3 linked regions of the Arabidopsis thaliana genome follow. The protein of the gene in region 2 purifies or fractionates together with the protein of the main gene of each other region. This does not show direct contact. Each region holds a gene or a part of one and is shown on either strand. Other genes may lie near its edges.

The links. The genes of interacting proteins can lie anywhere in the genome.
Region 1: the proteins of AT5G55070 (region 2) and PHT3;1 purify together in Arabidopsis thaliana (affinity purification with mass spectrometry, with the first as the bait; one large-scale study listed by BioGRID). This does not show direct contact.
Region 3: the proteins of AT5G55070 (region 2) and HSP60 purify together in Arabidopsis thaliana (affinity purification with mass spectrometry, with the first as the bait; one large-scale study listed by BioGRID). This does not show direct contact.

The regions. Positions count from the first base shown.
Region 1 is NC_003076.8:4,530,110-4,535,015, forward strand, and holds PHT3;1 (phosphate transporter 3;1), read right to left. Parts: upstream 3,011-4,906; 5' UTR 2,857-3,010; coding exon 2,536-2,856; intron 2,174-2,535; coding exon 1,812-2,173; intron 1,735-1,811; coding exon 1,691-1,734; intron 1,565-1,690; coding exon 1,350-1,564; intron 1,224-1,349; coding exon 1,099-1,223; intron 1,011-1,098; coding exon 950-1,010; 3' UTR 534-949; downstream 1-533. Other genes in the region: AT5G14050 (Transducin/WD40 repeat-like superfamily protein), read left to right, coding at 3,430-4,906. UniProt on the Arabidopsis thaliana protein: Transport of phosphate groups from the cytosol to the mitochondrial matrix. Mediates salt stress tolerance through an ATP-dependent pathway and via modulation of the gibberellin metabolism.
Region 2 is NC_003076.8:22,345,426-22,351,674, reverse strand, and holds AT5G55070 (Dihydrolipoamide succinyltransferase), read right to left. Parts: upstream 4,465-6,249; 5' UTR 4,282-4,464; intron 4,051-4,281; 5' UTR 4,039-4,050; coding exon 3,982-4,038; intron 3,894-3,981; coding exon 3,822-3,893; intron 3,674-3,821; coding exon 3,619-3,673; intron 3,535-3,618; coding exon 3,516-3,534; intron 3,433-3,515; coding exon 3,365-3,432; intron 3,179-3,364; coding exon 3,104-3,178; intron 3,011-3,103; coding exon 2,955-3,010; intron 2,851-2,954; coding exon 2,806-2,850; intron 2,726-2,805; coding exon 2,462-2,725; intron 2,347-2,461; coding exon 2,252-2,346; intron 2,133-2,251; coding exon 2,042-2,132; intron 1,954-2,041; coding exon 1,843-1,953; intron 1,746-1,842; coding exon 1,551-1,745; intron 1,458-1,550; coding exon 1,266-1,457; 3' UTR 1,208-1,265; exon of another isoform or gene 848-1,207; intron 694-847; 3' UTR 507-693; downstream 1-506. Other genes in the region: RAN4 (ras-related nuclear protein 4), read left to right, coding at 26-99; AT5G55060 (Rab3 GTPase-activating protein catalytic subunit), read right to left, coding at 5,275-5,562, 5,734-5,874, 6,047-6,116, 6,209-6,249. UniProt on the Arabidopsis thaliana protein: The 2-oxoglutarate dehydrogenase complex catalyzes the overall conversion of 2-oxoglutarate to succinyl-CoA and CO(2).
Region 3 is NC_003074.8:8,667,079-8,673,111, reverse strand, and holds HSP60 (heat shock protein 60), read right to left. Parts: upstream 4,341-6,033; 5' UTR 4,100-4,340; coding exon 4,062-4,099; intron 3,872-4,061; coding exon 3,718-3,871; intron 3,572-3,717; coding exon 3,412-3,571; intron 3,321-3,411; coding exon 3,049-3,320; intron 2,964-3,048; coding exon 2,859-2,963; intron 2,773-2,858; coding exon 2,686-2,772; intron 2,581-2,685; coding exon 2,491-2,580; intron 2,405-2,490; coding exon 2,324-2,404; intron 2,255-2,323; coding exon 2,186-2,254; intron 2,057-2,185; coding exon 1,979-2,056; intron 1,866-1,978; coding exon 1,770-1,865; intron 1,677-1,769; coding exon 1,577-1,676; intron 1,491-1,576; coding exon 1,387-1,490; intron 1,306-1,386; coding exon 1,200-1,305; intron 1,121-1,199; coding exon 1,042-1,120; intron 949-1,041; coding exon 834-948; 3' UTR 534-833; downstream 1-533. Other genes in the region: AT3G24000 (Tetratricopeptide repeat (TPR)-like superfamily protein), read right to left, coding at 1-338; BLI (BLISTER), read left to right, coding at 5,672-5,728, 5,976-6,033.

The sequences.
Region 1 (4,906 bases), about 18 Mb from region 2:
ACAATTATTTTAATTAATTAAAAAAAGATTATTCTTTTTAACCTAACCGCTACCGCCCGCAACCGCAAACGCTTGCGGAAAGGAGCTTTTGAAAACTGGCGATTTCGAGCGGTTTAAAGCGATATCTAGCGGTTTTTATGATTGGTGTCAATCGCTAACAACCGCTACCAACCGCAAACGCAGCGTTTGCGGGTGGTAGAGGGAGAACCAATCAAGTCCTTAGTCCCTCAATCGTCGTCGCTCAAAATTACTGGTTTGACAACAGATGGTTGGTTGTTAGAGCCTTTAGACGAATGGAATCCAATTGCAAGGGTACATCTGTTAATTGGGATCAAACTGTTAAGTAACTTAGTTGGGCAACAAAGCCCGTCTAGCTCAGTTGGTAGAGCGCAAGGCTCTTAACCTTGTGGTCGTGGGTTCGAGCCCCACGGTGGGCGACGTTGTTTTTTTTATCATATGTTTATTAATCATTTGCCTACATAATATTTTCCTTATGTTAGCGCTTAGCGGTTAAACGTATACATATGATTAGTATTCAAGATCTATCTATGATTTGATGTTTTAAAACGAGATTTTATATAATCTCTAAAACAAAAAAGTAAAATAATAGATAGAGCAACCAAAAGAGAATTTCAACTGAAACTGAATAAAAAGTAGTGAGTGGGTGTATGCCCACTCTCTCTATCTTGGAGTGTGTCCCTCTCATCTTTTAAGATTACATCACACAAAGAAAAAAAGGACAAGAAACAATAGGAAGAGAGTATGTAAAGAGAGAGAGAGCACTATCCTGAATTCAGGAACACAAATTTCAAAAAAAACAAAAATGATAAAGTTCAAATCAGGAAGAAATTGAGCTTACTCACTCTTCCTCATCACCGTATGGTTTCTCTTATTTTTCCAAACAAAAATCCTACCCCATCGAACTCCTAATAACCTTTTTCGTCATTGTTTAGGCTTTGGCTTCAGTAGCTGCGATGGCAGGAGCTGGAGCAACACCACCAGTGGTTGGCCTGAATACCAAATCAAAAGAATTGAGAGTTTTGCATTTTGAAGGTACAATTAAGGTACGAAAGTAAGTGAAGAGAGAGAGGAACTTACAGGCCAACAAACACTTTGAAGGCATCGTATAATCCCCACTGTGCTCCAGTCAACGTCCCGATCATCACAATTCTAAGAGGAAGCCCTCTTGTGAACAGTCCCACCATACCAATCTTCTTCACCGCCTGCAACATGTCATTTACAAACATTAAATATTATTTCTACCGTAACAGAAATCAATAGCTTGTATACAACTACCAAACCACAGCCATTCTAGCATTAGGCTATTGTATTCAAACATAGTGACTTACATCTCCAACGGTTGCTCCCTTAGCGTTGTTGAGGAATGACACTAGATTGTCTGCTGGATGAGAAACGATGGCACAGAACACTCCGGCAACGTAACCTCCGGCAAAACTCACTCCGAGTTGCAGACCTTTGCTGCACTCACTCTTTGGGTTGGGGATTGCGTACTTGTAAATCATCTCAACAATGGTCTCAAAGGAAGCAAACTTCATCATAGTGTCTGTAAAATTCATAGATATCATCACCACCTTTTGCTTTTAAAGAACTACATATGTTTCATCAATAAACAAAAAAAAAAAAAAAAAAAGATTGTGCAACAGGTTGCAAAATAGAGGCCAGAACTTACAAGGAATCTGACGTCCCCAGAGTGGAGCAAGACCCTTATACAAGCTGCAAAAAAATCAGAAATCAGACCAAAAGGCTAGCAGTAACAAGGGAGATAATGTTATTGGTATTGAAAAACTCACCCTCCGTATCCTTCGGACTTGATAAACTTGGGAAATCCATCAGACATCCCCCTAGCAAATCCAGGCTGTGTCTGAACACGAACCTTCACAGCTTCAAATGGGCAAAGTGCAATATCGGCAATGATCTCAGCAGAAGCAGAACCAGCAAGGTAGATGAGAGTCTTGTATTTGGCAGTGTACTCAGGTCCAGCAAGGTCAGAGTAAGTCTTCTTAAAGTACTCGTAGAATCCAAACTTGCAGGCACCCTGAGCACTGTAACCCAAAAGAGTAGGAACCCATCCACGGAAAAAGCCTTTGACTCCTTGCTCTTTCAGCAAAATTCCAAAACCAGACGAGATGCTCTTGTACTTCGCTGGATCAATCTGGATAACAAGATATATCAGTTTTGCAAGACCAAGTGAACCATTCAACACATAACACGTCAAGTAACAATATTTCGAAAGAAGAACCAGAAATCAGACCATATTAACGTATATTGAAATAGAATGATTCATATATAACATGGAAATGGATAGACGAAGATGCGTTTATCAGAGATCAAACAATTCTTCAGATATTGAAATCAAACACAAAACCAATAGTCAGGAAAACAACAAAGCGATAAAGAAAATCAAATCACAGATCTAGCAACACAGATCTCACTACCTAAACAACACAGGAACACAGATCCACAAACATGAGCTCAGAAAACAAACGAAAGACAACGGATCTAAAGGTTACATACCTGCATATTGCACTTGACGAGATCGAGAGGAGTCACGGTCATGTGAGTAAGACCACAGCTGAGAATTCCACCAAAGGTACAAGCAGCGTAGAAGGCAGGTGAATACATCTCGATCCCCTTCCCTGGCTCGGTGGGAGATGCAATAAGGAAATTCTTCCGAGAAATCATCGACGTAGGAGAGGAACGCGGGGCCGGAGAAGGAGATTTCTCGAATGCAGCGTTGGAGTTGGAATTGAGCACCTGGTCGAGGAGGAAAGATCTCGGAGATGAAGATGATGAATAGAGGAAGCTCGGGATCAGAGAATTCTTCGGAGATTCCATGGCGGCGGCGGAGGAAGGAGATGGAGATAGCGTTTGAAATGAGAGACGGAGGCGATGTTTGATTCCCGATCTCACTCACGCTTTGCCAAAACCAAAAGCACCAATGAGGTATTAACTCTCGAAACTCGGGCTTTATTGGGCAAATGGAATCTGATGGAACAAGGCATATACTTTGCGATAATTACGAAAGTGACATTGTTATTTTACCTGTCTTGGCCCATGGGCTTTTTCAAGAGACATAAGACCCGTTGACCCATTAAAGGGCTGTATTAACGACAAGTTCCAATTTTTATTTGTTTATCTTTTGTTGGAAAATGAAATTCTAAAACCCTAAAAAATCCAACCAGAAGGGTAGAAGCTCTCTCGCCGACAATTACCGGCTACAAGGTTTCTCTGCTCGTCAACGTTGTAAGTTATTTCTTCATTGTAATCAAATTTGTGCATGAATTAGGTCAAATTAGTAGCTTTTGTAGTAATTCTTCCCGAAATGAGAGCTTAATTACGGATTGATAACGAGCTTGCGAATCTTATCGTTGTTTGTTTCATGCAGCTCTGAATTAGTGGTATTGAAAGATGAGCTTATCTCAGAATGCTCCGAAAAGTAAGGGTATTAAAAGAGAGGAGCTCAAGAAACAGTACGAAGATGTTGAAGATGAGGAAGAGATTGGGTCCGATGATGATCTCACTAGGGGAAAGAGAAGAAAGACAGAGAAGGAGAAGCAGAAGCTAGAAGAATCGGAACTGGTTGAAATGAAAAAGCTTGAGAATTTGATATTCGGGTCACTCTACTCTCCTGTTACGTTTGGTAAGGAAGAAGAAGAAGATGGTTCGGCTTTGTTTCATGTAGACCGTTCTGCTGTGAGGCAGATTCCTGACTACGAGGATGATGGTGATGATGATGAAGAGCTTTCTGATGAAGAGAATGGTCAAGTTGTGGCAATTAGAAAGGGAGAAGCTGCCTGGGAGGATGAAGAAGAGAAACAGATAAACGTTGATATAGCTAGTGTCAACCGTCTAAGGAAGCTAAGGAAAGAGGAGAATGAGGGTTTGATCTCTGGGTCTGAGTACATTGCAAGGCTGAGGGCTCATCATGCTAAGCTAAACCCGGGGACTGATTGGGCTCGGCCAGATTCTCAAATAGTTGATGGAGAGTCTTCAGATGATGATGATACTCAGGATGGAGGAGTTGATGATATCCTTCGAACGAATGAAGATCTTGTGGTGAAGTCTCGTGGTAACAAGCTGTGTGCTGGTCGTCTTGAATACTCTAAGCTTGTGGATGCCAATGCAGCGGATCCTTCAAATGGTCCAATAAACTCTGTCCACTTCCATCAGAACGCTCAGCTGCTTCTCACTGCTGGATTGGATCGACGGTTAAGGTTTTTCCAGATTGATGGAAAGAGGAACACCAAGATCCAGAGCATTTTTCTTGAGGACTGTCCCATTCGTAAAGCGGCTTTCTTGCCCAATGGCTCTCAGGTCATTGTCTCCGGAAGAAGAAAGTTCTTTTACAGCTTTGATTTGGAGAAGGCAAAGTTTGACAAAATTGGCCCTTTGGTTGGTAGAGAGGAGAAAAGCTTGGAATATTTCGAGGTGTCACAAGACTCTAACACCATAGCTTTTGTTGGCAACGAAGGTTATATCTTACTTGTGTCTACAAAAACAAAAGAGCTGATAGGAACCCTAAAGATGAATGGTTCAGTTAGGTCTTTAGCATTTAGTGAAGATGGGAAGCATTTGCTGAGCTCAGGAGGTGACGGGCAAGTCTATGTCTGGGATCTGAGAACAATGAAATGCTTATACAAAGGCGTGGATGAAGGCAGCACTTGTGGCACTTCTCTTTGCAGTTCGCTTAACGGAGCATTGTTTGCTTCTGGAACCGACAGAGGAATCGTAAACATTTACAAGAAATCTGAGTTTGTGGGAGGCAAAAGAAAGCCGATAAAGACAGTGGACAATCTCACATCCAAGATAGATTTCATGAAGTTCAACCATGATGCTCAGATTCTAGCTATAGTCTCTACAATGAACAAAAACAGTGTAAAGCTAG
Region 2 (6,249 bases):
TTTGTGTGTATTTGCAGGATTGAAGCTGTAGAGGCGGGAACTCAGCCACTCCTAATGACGAGGATATCATTTGAATTTAATACCTTATCGATTGAGTAATCATTTAATTAATTGTCGTTTTAGCTTTGAGTACTGTTTATGATTTATGAGACGAATCTATCCCGTATCTAGTTTTTGGTGATGATTGTAAGTACTGTTCATGTGGATTATATATTTGTAATTTACATGGACATGTAAGATTGAGATTGTGACTATATATATATATATATATATATATATATATATATATATATATATATATATTAAAATGGTATTTTTTTTCTTTGCAAACCCTTTTAACAAATAAAATTGTTATTTCTATTTGCATTTGCAAACCCTTTTAACCGTTCTATTTGCAGACTTTCTATTTGGACTATCTTACTTTCTTTGTCTTTGGGCTTCTTCTGTTGTAATATTTGTTTCAATAAAATACAGATGGAAAAAGACAGAAGAAACAGAACCGTTTGTATCTTCAAATATCTATGATTTACTACACGTTTACTTGTTCACTTTTTGTAAGATTTTAATTTTTAAGTAATACACGTTCTTATTTATTTATTTTAGTACAAAAGATTTAGCAACATAAAACGAGATTAATCTTACTATACGTGTTGTATTGCTCCTTTGAAATCGTCCATGTCCGCGTCACAAACCCTTGAAATCCAAAAAATCAAGTCTGACATTCCAATCGGAAGCAAGCATACAATTTAATGAAGAGTGAGATCAAATTTCAGTTATTGTTTAACTTTTAAAATGTCATAATTTTTTCCTTAATCCAAGTAAAAAAATTAAGGTGAGGAGGTCACATATATTTGTAATTTGTTTTTGATATTGGCTAAACCGATACTAAAGATATATCTTTCGGACAATTATCCCCTACAACAAGAAACAACCATACATCCTCAGTACCCCATAATGAACAATGCAACTCCATGGAAATGGAAACCATTTTTAACCAATAATTATCAGTGGCATTATTTTTTGAAAGTCAAAATTGTAACATTTTGTTCAAACTGTATGAATATTATAAAATAAAAGAAAACTCAATACACCGATGCTTTCCTCGCCCGGCAAAAACTCTTAAAACTATTAAGAAAACTCCAAAAAAAAAGTTTCGTTCTTTTTTCAAAGCATCATTTGCAGATTGCAGTATCCGTAATGGTTTTACCTGAAAGGAAACTGGTAAAAAGACAGAAACTTATGATCTCTTCTGTCTTGGATCTTTATCATATGTCGAGAAGAAGCCTCTGAGGATCTTCCACAACATCCTTAATACGGCGCAAGAAATACACAGCCTCTCTTCCATCAATTAGCCTATGATCGTAAGTCAGCGCGACATACATCATTGGCCTCGGAACTACGCTTCCTCCCACAACCATTGGACGTTGCACAATTGAATGCATTCCAAGAATAGCAGACTACGTATGATAGATTTATTTGCATTAGTAACAAACAAACAAAAAAACACCTTTCTTTGATTGGTTTTTAGTATTGCAAGGATCGAATCGAACCTGAGGAGGGTTGATGATAGGAGTGCTTATAAGACTTCCATAGACACCACCATTTGATACTGTGAATGATCCTCCTGCCATCTCATCGATTGATATGGTTCCTTCAGTAGCCTTCTTAGCGAGACCGTTTATTGTTTTCTCTATGTCAGCAAAGTTCATTTTGTCAGCATCTCTTATGACTGGAACTACAAGACCCTGGGATACAATACACAGAGAAGAGGAATCAATCAAAACTATCTCAAAAGCCCAAATGATATTATCACTCAATGTCAAAAGAATTGCGGAAACAAACCTTAGAGGTACCAACAGCGATACTGATATCCACGTAGTCTCTGTAAATGATATCATCTCCATCGATAACTGCATTTACTACAGGTTGGTGCTGGAGGGCACTAACAGCAGCCTGAAACAAATAGTTCAAGAAGATTACTTAATCGGTTGAGTCCTGATATGCTAAATAGTTCAGGAAACTTTTGAGTTTTTTACCATACCTTAATGAAACCAGACATAAGCCCCAACTTCACTCCGTGCTTTTCAAGAAAAGCATCCTTGTACTGAGATCGGAGCTTCATCAGATTAGTCCTACGTGAAGAAGGAAAGTTTTGTTGGTGAACTTAAGAGTTGGGTTAAAATTAGTGCACTAAGGGCATTTCAAAATGATAAAGAGACATATCAACATGGGGTTGTCAACTGTAACTCACATATCAACTTCATTGAAAGTTGTCAGCAACGCAAAAGTGTTCTGAGAGTCTTTCAACCTAGTTGCCACCCGTTTGCGAAGTCTTGTCATAGGAACCTGCATCGATGTTAGATGATATCATCAAATCTTGTGAACGTAAAATGCTTTTCTTTCATAGAGAAAACACACGGAGCATTATATAAGTAAAGAATAAATGACATAGTTTTCATACCCGTCTTTCCCTATCCTTAGGTGGAAGCTGCGGTTCTTTAGCTGACTGTTTGGATGGCGGTGGAGGTGGCGGTGATGGTGCCTTGGGTTTCTCTGCAACTTTGGTACTTTCAACTTTGGGCTTCTCAGCAGGAGGAGAAGGCTTGGGAGCAGGTTTCTCTGGTGCCTTTTCTGAGGGTGCCACATGAGACACAGCATCCGCAGATGTAGAAATTCTTGCAACCTTGTTTCCTGGTTCAACAGTATCTCCTTCCTTGACTAGAAACTGCAAAAAAGAAAAAAGTAATTGGGCATAGGAACACAAGAGAAGAACGACAGGAACATTAAAGTACACAAATAGTTTACCTCTTGGATCACACCACTTGCTGGGCTAGCAATATCTATTGTAACCTAAAGCACATAGATGAATCAAACACTAGTATTAGGAAAGCTACACAAGATACTGACCAACATCTATTGGAATGGAGATAATAAGATAAGTAATTGTTTGATACCTTGTCAGTTTCAATTTGTGCAATAGCCTCATCAGCTTCTACTCTATCGCCAGGTTCTGCAAGAACAATAAGCACATACAATGAAAATATTAGATACATAAATGCACCGGAAAGAAACGAGCAAGAAGATAATGTAAAGAAAAGCATACTCTTCAGAAAGGCGGCTAGGGTGCCATCAGTGATTGATTCACCCATGTGTGGCACAACAGCTTCCACGACATCCCCTTCAATCACATATACAAAAAAGTGTGAGTCAAAAAGCCTAGAAATACAAGTTACAATAACAGTAAAGAGCAAATCCAATTAACCCACACGGATCATAAGACTAAGCTCTGGTGTTCCAAAACATGGGACAGAAAAACCAAAATAACTTGACATAAAGGGAAAAGTTTCAGCTAGAGCAATCATACCACTATCAGATGAAAAGGGCCTGACCCATCTTTGCAGGGCTGTGCCTTGGTAACCGTTGATAATAGTCCTACACACATGAATATAACACTTTCAGCGAAAATGGTGAGAGAATTGAGTCTTATACATGAACAAAAGGACTGAGTTACCAACCTTGAACAGTCTGGACACCCTGCAAATAAGAGAACAATTGTCAAGTTAAAGATCTTAACCTAGCAAAACAACAAAAACAACAAAAAAAGGTAGTAATAATAACCTGGACAAGAACGGTGATGGAAGCTATGAGCATGGTTTCCACGAGGCACCAACGTCTGTACAATTCGTAATGACAGTTAAATAACTTGTTCATGGAAGAAGCATATAGAATCAACTAGTTAAACACATCCTAAGATGATTGAATTTATAAATAGCTGTCCACAGAACCAAAATCAAGCATGAATCATTGAACAAAAAAAGTACCTCTGTTGCTGAAACAGAATGAAATTGAGCAGACACTGCAACACGAGAGGATTGCAATGATTTTCCCAATCCCTGAAACAGAGAGAGAGATCAATTAGATAAAAAAAACTATCACATCGGAGAAAAATCAAATCAAAATGGTAACGAATCAAACACTAACCGAAGCAGAAGAAGAGCCTCTAATGGAAGCTCTCCTAAAAACAGCACGCAACATCATCGCACCAAATCTCTGTAACAACAAGATGTCGGTGAGATTCAACACTCGTAATCATAAACGCAACACAATCAATCAAAAATCGTCGGAAAATGGAATCTGTTCATCCTCAACACTACTTTCTCAAAATCAGAAACCTAAATCCTGCTATTATGGCTTTCAAAACATAAAAACTGCTCAGATTCGTGACTTTCAGCAACAAGACGAAAATGAAAACAAGAGAAAACCGAGGAATTGAAATCTCACCGAAGGGGTGGAGAGAAACTTGAGCGCCGAATGAGAAAGTTAGGGTTTGCAGAAATTATTGAAGGAGGAGAGAGATAGACAGAGAGAGGAACTGGAGAAAAGCATATGACCTTTCTCTGCTTTGAGCAAGTCACGAAAGAATATGGAAAATTCAGAGGATTTTACACGTGTCTTATTTCCTTGTGTAAAACGAATAATATGAACATTATTATTATAAGATCTCTGATTATTATTACGCTTCTAAATTTGGATTCAGTAATATGAACTCTCGAAAACGTCTGCGTTTTAGTAACATCAAATAGTCCATAGGCCCAACGGCCCATGTTATTTTCTTTGAGAAATGTTTTTTTTCTTTTTTTTTGCCATCACTTTGAGAAATGTTATAATGAAACAATTTACTTACAGTTACCAAGGAATTGATCAAACAACAACCTAAACATTAGGAAAAGTTTATTGTGGGAAAGTAACCAACTCTAGAGAGTTTTGATTTTTCTTATGTATATCTTGTGTAGAAACCTTAAGGTGCAAATGGTTGCATATGGATGAAAAATTTGAGTTGAAAAAAGAAATGAATAAAATTCAGTTCATTTCTCTGCAAAATAGGAGATGAACAAGTTGAGAAAAAATTCTTTATAATTAATTCATTTTTTCAACTTTTTAGGTTGAATCATTTTTCCAACTTATTTATCTTAAATGGTAAAAAATTGGTTTGAATGTTCATTCAACTCTTTCAACTTCTTAATTTTAGGCAACCATCTAAAACAGCATCTCAGAAATCTAATAATTTACACAAATGTTCTAAAAGCTTTTACACATCTTATTCATTTCCATTTATTTGCATTTCACCATACCTTCAGAAATGTTTTAAATAAGATAACTTTACAGTTACCAACCAATTGATCAACTTAACAACCTAAAACCCCAGAAGAAGAATACAAAAAACTGAGAAATGACTTAAAAGCAGATGAAACAAATCAAATAAATAATATGGATTCAGACAAGCGTCACATTTTCAGGTCTAGGAGGTCTCTTTGAAAACAGAGACGACTTGCCATCAAAAAGACTAGAGAATGATTGGCGTGGGCTAGGTTCGGTGCTTTTCTGTTCAGTTTCTGATGGAACTCTTGTCTGCTTTCTTTCTTTACTACCACGAAAGATGAAACCTAGCCGCTTAAACCGCCGTTTCGTTTCGCTGCCACTTGATGGCGACTCCTCTGTTTGTTTCATTGATCTCAAAACTTCTTCTGGACGTAATAACATTGTTTCCACGGTCTCGTATACCTATTATGACCAAATAAATGCAATTAGGATGTATGATTAGTGAGCATAATGTTCATATCCACATGGCCTTACTTTGGCATCTGATAAAACATTCTTAACTCTATTAAAGTGATAGATTTCCAAGCATGTAGATACGTTTTTGAATCTGTGCAAAGCTCTCTAGTAAAGTACCTGGCATAGATCATCAAGCTTATCGGTCCATGCGCCCCCCTGACAAATAGCGACTACATAATCCTTGCATTCAAAGAAAAGCTTTGACAAGTCATCGTTTGTAGCTAAAACTGGCTCCACCATCACAAACCCCAGGGAAACCTGAAATATTTTTAACCAATCCAATCGTCAAAGTGCTATTTACAGCTAAAACCTTAACTGTGTAACCAATGACATCCATTTAACGTAGCGCAAGTGAGAGAATTTGAGATTGACCTTACAGATAGAAAGCTTCACAAAAAGAAAAATACGCAATTTGTTGGGAAAAACTTACTAGCGAAGTAAACAGCTGCTCAAAAAGTTCAGCAGCTGGAATGTCTTCCAAATAATTCAAGATTCCTTCTCTGTATAAGTTAAATGAGAAATGGACAAGATCTCCATGAGTGATCAAATACAGATTTCACTACGTTTAAGAGGACATGCTATTGAAACTTACACAGCTAAATCTTCATCAAAGAGAGGTGCTTGTTTAACAGC
Region 3 (6,033 bases), on a different chromosome or scaffold from region 2:
TCCTCCAAACTTCCGCATTTAGCATACATATTGAGAAGAGTGTTGCCCATAACAATGTCATGACGAAAGATAGATTGAAGGATATGAGCATGAACGATCCTTCCCTGAATGAGCAACTTAAAGACTGTACATTTCTTCAGCAGCGTGTTGTAGAAACGTCTATCGGCGGGAATATAACTGCCCTCGAGATCATTGCTACTCGTTCGGAGAAGAAGATCATTGGATGGGAATTTTAAAGATTCGTCTTCGGAATCTTCAGATACCGGTGCCGGGAGAGAATTCAGACGCCGAGATAGCTTCAGCTGAGAGAGGAGACGAGGCGGGAAACGCAATGCCATGGTCGACACTCGACAACATCAAAGATGCTAACCGGAGATGAATTATAACTGAAAATAGTTTGGTTATCTTCGGTTTGTGTCAATGTATATAACCGGAATATATTTCAGTTCGATTTCATGGTAATTTGGATTTTGTGGTTTTCGTTTTTTTGGTGCATTTCAGTTAGTGGTTGCTTAATTTTGCTAAATCTTGGTTTAACTACGATGAAACTTGGGTATATATATAAATACTGTAATTTGAAGGGTCGGTTTATTGTTGGAGTACCAGACCTGAACCAGAAGCAATGACAAACACAAATGATGCCTTAGGAAAATTTGTTGATGCTAATAGTGTGTCTCGTAACATTGCCAAGTGTGCTCTGTTTATTGTAAAACTTTTGAGGTTATTGAGCAACAATAAGGCAAAGACGAAGACTAAAACTCCTAAAAGAATCGTATCTCTCTTCTCAAGTTAAGATGGTGATTGGTGAAAACAAAAGACAGAATTTAGTGGATCTAGTAGTCCATGCCTCCCATTCCACCCATGCCTGCTCCTGCTGCTCCTGACTCGCTTTCGTCTTTCGGAAGATCAACCACTACAGCTTCCGTTGTCGTCAACAAAGATGACACACTGCCAACAACGCAAGTATACAGTTTTAGCTTAAGACTCATATATCGAAATGAAGAAGAACATTGTTAGTTAGGGTGTTCGCTTTTTATTTACCTCGCAGCATCAACCAAAGCTGTCCTGATCACTTTCAGAGGGTCTATGATTCCAGCTTTCACCATATCCACATATTCACCTAGTTTGTTCTCCACAGTTAGCTAAATGCAATCTTCAGAGAGAACAAAAGTGAAGTGATGATGGATTGTGAAACTCACCTTTAGCAGCATCATAACCGAGGTCTGGGTTATCTTGCTCCAAGAGCTTGCCAACAATAACAGCACCTTCAACTCCAGCATTTGAAGCGATTGTGTAAACAGGAGTCTGGTAAACCAAAACTCGTTAAAACAATTTCTTGTCATCAATTATCAGATCAGAGGATTTTAGTTCTAAAGAATAGAAAACCTTCAATGCGTTCTGAATAATCTGGACACCAATCTTCTGGTCAAAGTTGGCTGTTGGAAGTTTTTCCAACTCTCTTGCTGCGTATAGAAGAGCCACACCTCCTCCTGCAAGTGTTTTGATTTGTTTCTTTAGCACATAGCAAACTTTTTAGCACTATATCAAAGAGTCTTCCTCACTGGAAGAGACATACCTGGTAAAATACCCTCTTCAACTGCTGCTTTAGTGGCATTCAAAGCATCTGTCACTCTGTCTTTCTTCTCACCAACTTCAGCTTCACTTGCTCCTCCAATCTAAACACAATTAGCTCCAGAAGTTATAACAAGACACTTACAACCAGGCTGCTATGATTCTAAGACTCCCAAAACATTATAACATGGACTAACCTTCAACACTGCAACACCTCCAGAGAGCTTAGCCAACCTTTCTTGCAGTTTTTCCTTGTCATAATCTGAGGTGCTCAGTTCAATTGCTGACCTAATCTGTTAGTTGCAATACCAAGCAATTAGAACGAACTACTTTCATACACTTCATAATTTCTTGCATACAAATTTTATTACTAACCAATTTATCAGGGTATAAGGTTAAAAATTACCTGTTCACATCTTTCCTCAATTCCTTTCTTGTCGCCAGCCCCATCAAGAATAACAGTGTCGTCCTTGGAGACTGTAACCTATACAAATAGCCAGACAAGTCTCAACTACACTTACAATCCAACAAGGATATGCTGAGAATGTAATAGCCAAATCTAGTTCATACTAAGAGCCACCATGTCTATATCAGTTAAGGTTTCAAAGGCTACCTTTTTGCAGGTTCCTAGCATGCTTAGGTCCACCTTCTCCAGATTCATGCCAAGCTCGTCTGTGATAACCTGTATCAAGCTAAGTCAATAATATTCCATTGTTGACAAGACTAACACATTACACAACAAATGTACTACCTCTCCACCAGTAAGGGCAGCAAGGTCTTGCAAATTGGCCTTCCTATTCTCTCCAAACCCAGGGGCCTTGATGGCACAGACCTGCAGGGAGGAAACTATTAATCTAAAAGCAAAGAAGTCATAGCTAAAAGTCAGGAGACGGTAGTAAGAGCTTCTGTTGTTCAAACCTTAATTCCGGCACGGAGCTTGTTAAGGATAAGAGTTGCAAGAGCATCACTTTCCACATCTTCAGAAACAATCAATAGTGGTCTTTGCCTCTGTAAGATTTTATTTGGACAACAGAAACCACATCAGATGCCTTTCACACAGCATTTACATGAGAAAATGATTACAGATTTACTATAAAGATAAAGTAGACATACCTTCAGAGCCAACTCCAACACTTTCACTATAGAGTTGATGCTTGAGATCTTCTTCTCGTGGATAAGAATGAGAGGATCGTCTAGTTCCTACATAGATTAATTCCAATTCAGTAACTTCTATAATTGATATGACACATCAAGAAACTTAATTGAGCAGGGAGTAAAAAACTTACACATTTTTGGGTTTTTTGATTAGTGATAAAGTATGGTGAAGTATAACCTCTGTCCAATTTCATCCCCTCTACAACTTCCAACTCGTTAAACAATGTCTTTCCATCCTGCAATGCATTATACCCACGTCAGAATTATGTTTTGACCAATATATAAGTAGCAACATGAGCAATCATTCGGCGATTTACTTACTTGGATTGTGATAACACCTTCTTTGCCAACCTTCTCCATAGCCTTGGCAATAAGTTCACCAATTTCCCTCTCTCCATTAGCAGAAATGGTTCCAACCTGAGCAATCTCTTCAGATGTGCTGATCATCCTAGCCTTGCTTTTAAGGTTTGTCACCACAGCATCAACTGCCATGGAAATACCTCTTCGCAAGTCCATTGCATTCATTCCTGCGGCAACTGATTTGCATCCTTCGGCAAATATAGCCCGGGTGAGGACAGTAGCACAAGTAGTACCTGCATGACAAGTTAAACAAGCATTGGTACATAGTTTTGCAAAGTTTCTACAACTATGAACCGCATAATCAATCAAAATGAAATATCTTACCATCACCAGCAACATCATTAGTAGCATTTGCAACCTGCTTCACAAGACTAGCACCAACGTTCTTAATTTTGTCTTTGAACTCAATACTTTTGGCAACAGTAACACCATCTTTTGTCACTTTAGGAGCACCCCAACTTTGCTCAATCACAACATTACGTCCCTTCAAAATTAGAATCACATAAAGCAGAAAGTCTTAGACCAAATTCGATACAGAATCAACCGGTCACCCAAATCACATGCTAAGGAAGGAACCTCTGGCCAAATCATGTCCAAATCAAATCAAAATGTGTAGAAGAAAAAGAGTACCTTGGGACCCATGGTGACTTTAACAGCATCAGCAAGATCTTCAACACCCTTAAGCATCAAAGCTCGAGCTTCAACACCAAACTTAATCTCTTTCGCTGCATAGTTCCTGCTCCAGCTCATTCTGCTGGAAACCTGGCGAGCGTTTTGAGCAATCCTGAAGAACAGAGAACAATAAAGACACCATTTTTATTATCAGAACTGGCAATTCAGAATCGGGATTAAGCTAGTAGATTTCGAGAGCCCAGATGAATTTGAAGAGAGTAGATCAAAACCCAAATCGATTTAATTCCTCATTAGCTTCCAATGAGAGTGAATAAAAAACACGAAGAAAGTGAGTTCATTACCTTGCCTTGGAGGCGAGGTTAGAAGCGAAACGATACATGGTGAGTGAGAAGGAAGAGGATTAACGATGAAGAGATGATTCTGATGAGCGAGTTAGATTAGATCAATGGAGAACAGGCGGAGAGAGAGAGAGAGAGAGAAGAAGAGTTGAGAGGGCTTAATAAGCGAAGGAGAAGAGTCTAGAAGCAGCTGCTAGTTACTATATGAGCCTTTTAGGGTTTTAGGCCTCTTTAGGGTTTAACTTTCATTTCAAACTTAAAAATCGTTAATCTCATTTGACGAAAAAAAAAAAAAAAAAAGTCGTTAATCTCATTTTCCAATTTAATTTCTGTAATATTTTTTGCCCCAAAGAAACAGATTTCATTTTTTCATCTTTTGATAACCAGCATTTGTGATTTTGCCATAATATACATGTCAAATTTTATATAGCGTTTAACCAAAAAATAAAATAAAATTATATCGCTTGATCTAAATATCCTTGAATCTAATCAAACTGAACCACACCAAACCAAAGAAAACCAACGGTAATTAAATGGTTCCGGTTGGATTAGGTTTTTGGTTTAGGTTTGCTTCAGCTCTACAAAACAAATCGGTGTTTCGAGTTTTTTAAATTGAATTTGTTCTCTAAAATCAGTGGCAATTTGTGTAATATTTTACCTCAGTAAAAGTTTCTTAAATACGCAAAGATAAAAACTGATAATATGAAATAGAACTCCAAAAGAAATCCAAAATCCAAACAATGCAAACAAAAAAGTGAACCAAACCCCATAATAAACACCTAGATGATACCAAAAGGTTGACCTTGCTTCACTTTTTTTCTTCATTACTTTGCTCTTTTAGTTGTCCTAAAGTAGAGGAATTTGAAGCTTCTATTGATATTAAAATTTGTCAATTTCTCTCTTTAAAAACATGAGTAATTTGGTGGGCTGTCGTCATGTTCCACGGGCCACATGGATGCTCCTATTTATTTTCTTTACCTGTCATATGTGTCCATCACGACTCATTTCTCTCCATTTTTTTTTCTCTTAATTTTCTTACTACCTAAACATTCTCTCTTATTTTTCAAAAAATACAACAGACTATGAACAAATACATTACACACTTCTTATACATTTTTAAAATCAAAAGCTACATGAAATCTAAATTTCACCAAACAAACAATGAGTGAACGTTAAAAAAAAATTGCAACCAAACAAAGAAAAAAAAAAACGAGTAAAAACGTTTAATTCAAAGCAGAGAAGGGGAAAATAAAAAGAAAGGGATCTGTTAAAAAGAGATCTGACGAACAAAATTAATATTTGAACTTCGTCCTCCTCTCCTTCAGATCGAAAACCCTAATTTCGATTTCTTTGTTTGACAATTCCATCGATTTTTGAACTTGTTTTCTCGAGATCTCCATCTGTTTCCTCCACCCCGAAATTTCAACGATATCTTCTCGATCTGTGCGTCAGGATCTGGGCTTTTTGAAATTTGAGTTTTCTCCTCAATCATAACAACGGCGATTTCCGGGAATGGCTTTGGCTAAAACGGATTCAATGGTAATTGAAAAAGCATTGATTTGAAGCAATTGGAGAGGGAACATTTCCCTCTGCGAGATTTCGAGTATTTTTCAATGGCATCAGCTACTAGTTCCCGGAGGCAAGAGGACGTTGAAGCTGGACGCCGTAAGGTAGATCATCATCATCATAATCATCATCTTTTGTTTGATTCTCTCGTTACTTTGAATTTGCCCCTAAAATTTGTCGGTGCTGAGTCAATTGATCATTTTTTTTAGGTGGGTTGTTTATATTGGAATTGAGATTGATGTCCTAACGCATGCAATCAGAATTGAGATTTATTCGACAAAAAGCTTGTTTTTTTTAAAGATGAATGCGTAAAATTGTGTGTTTCTTATCGTTTAATTTCTGGATTTTCAGCTTGAGCAGTTTCGTAAACGAAAAGCAGCAGAAAAAGCTAAAAAGGCATCACAGAATA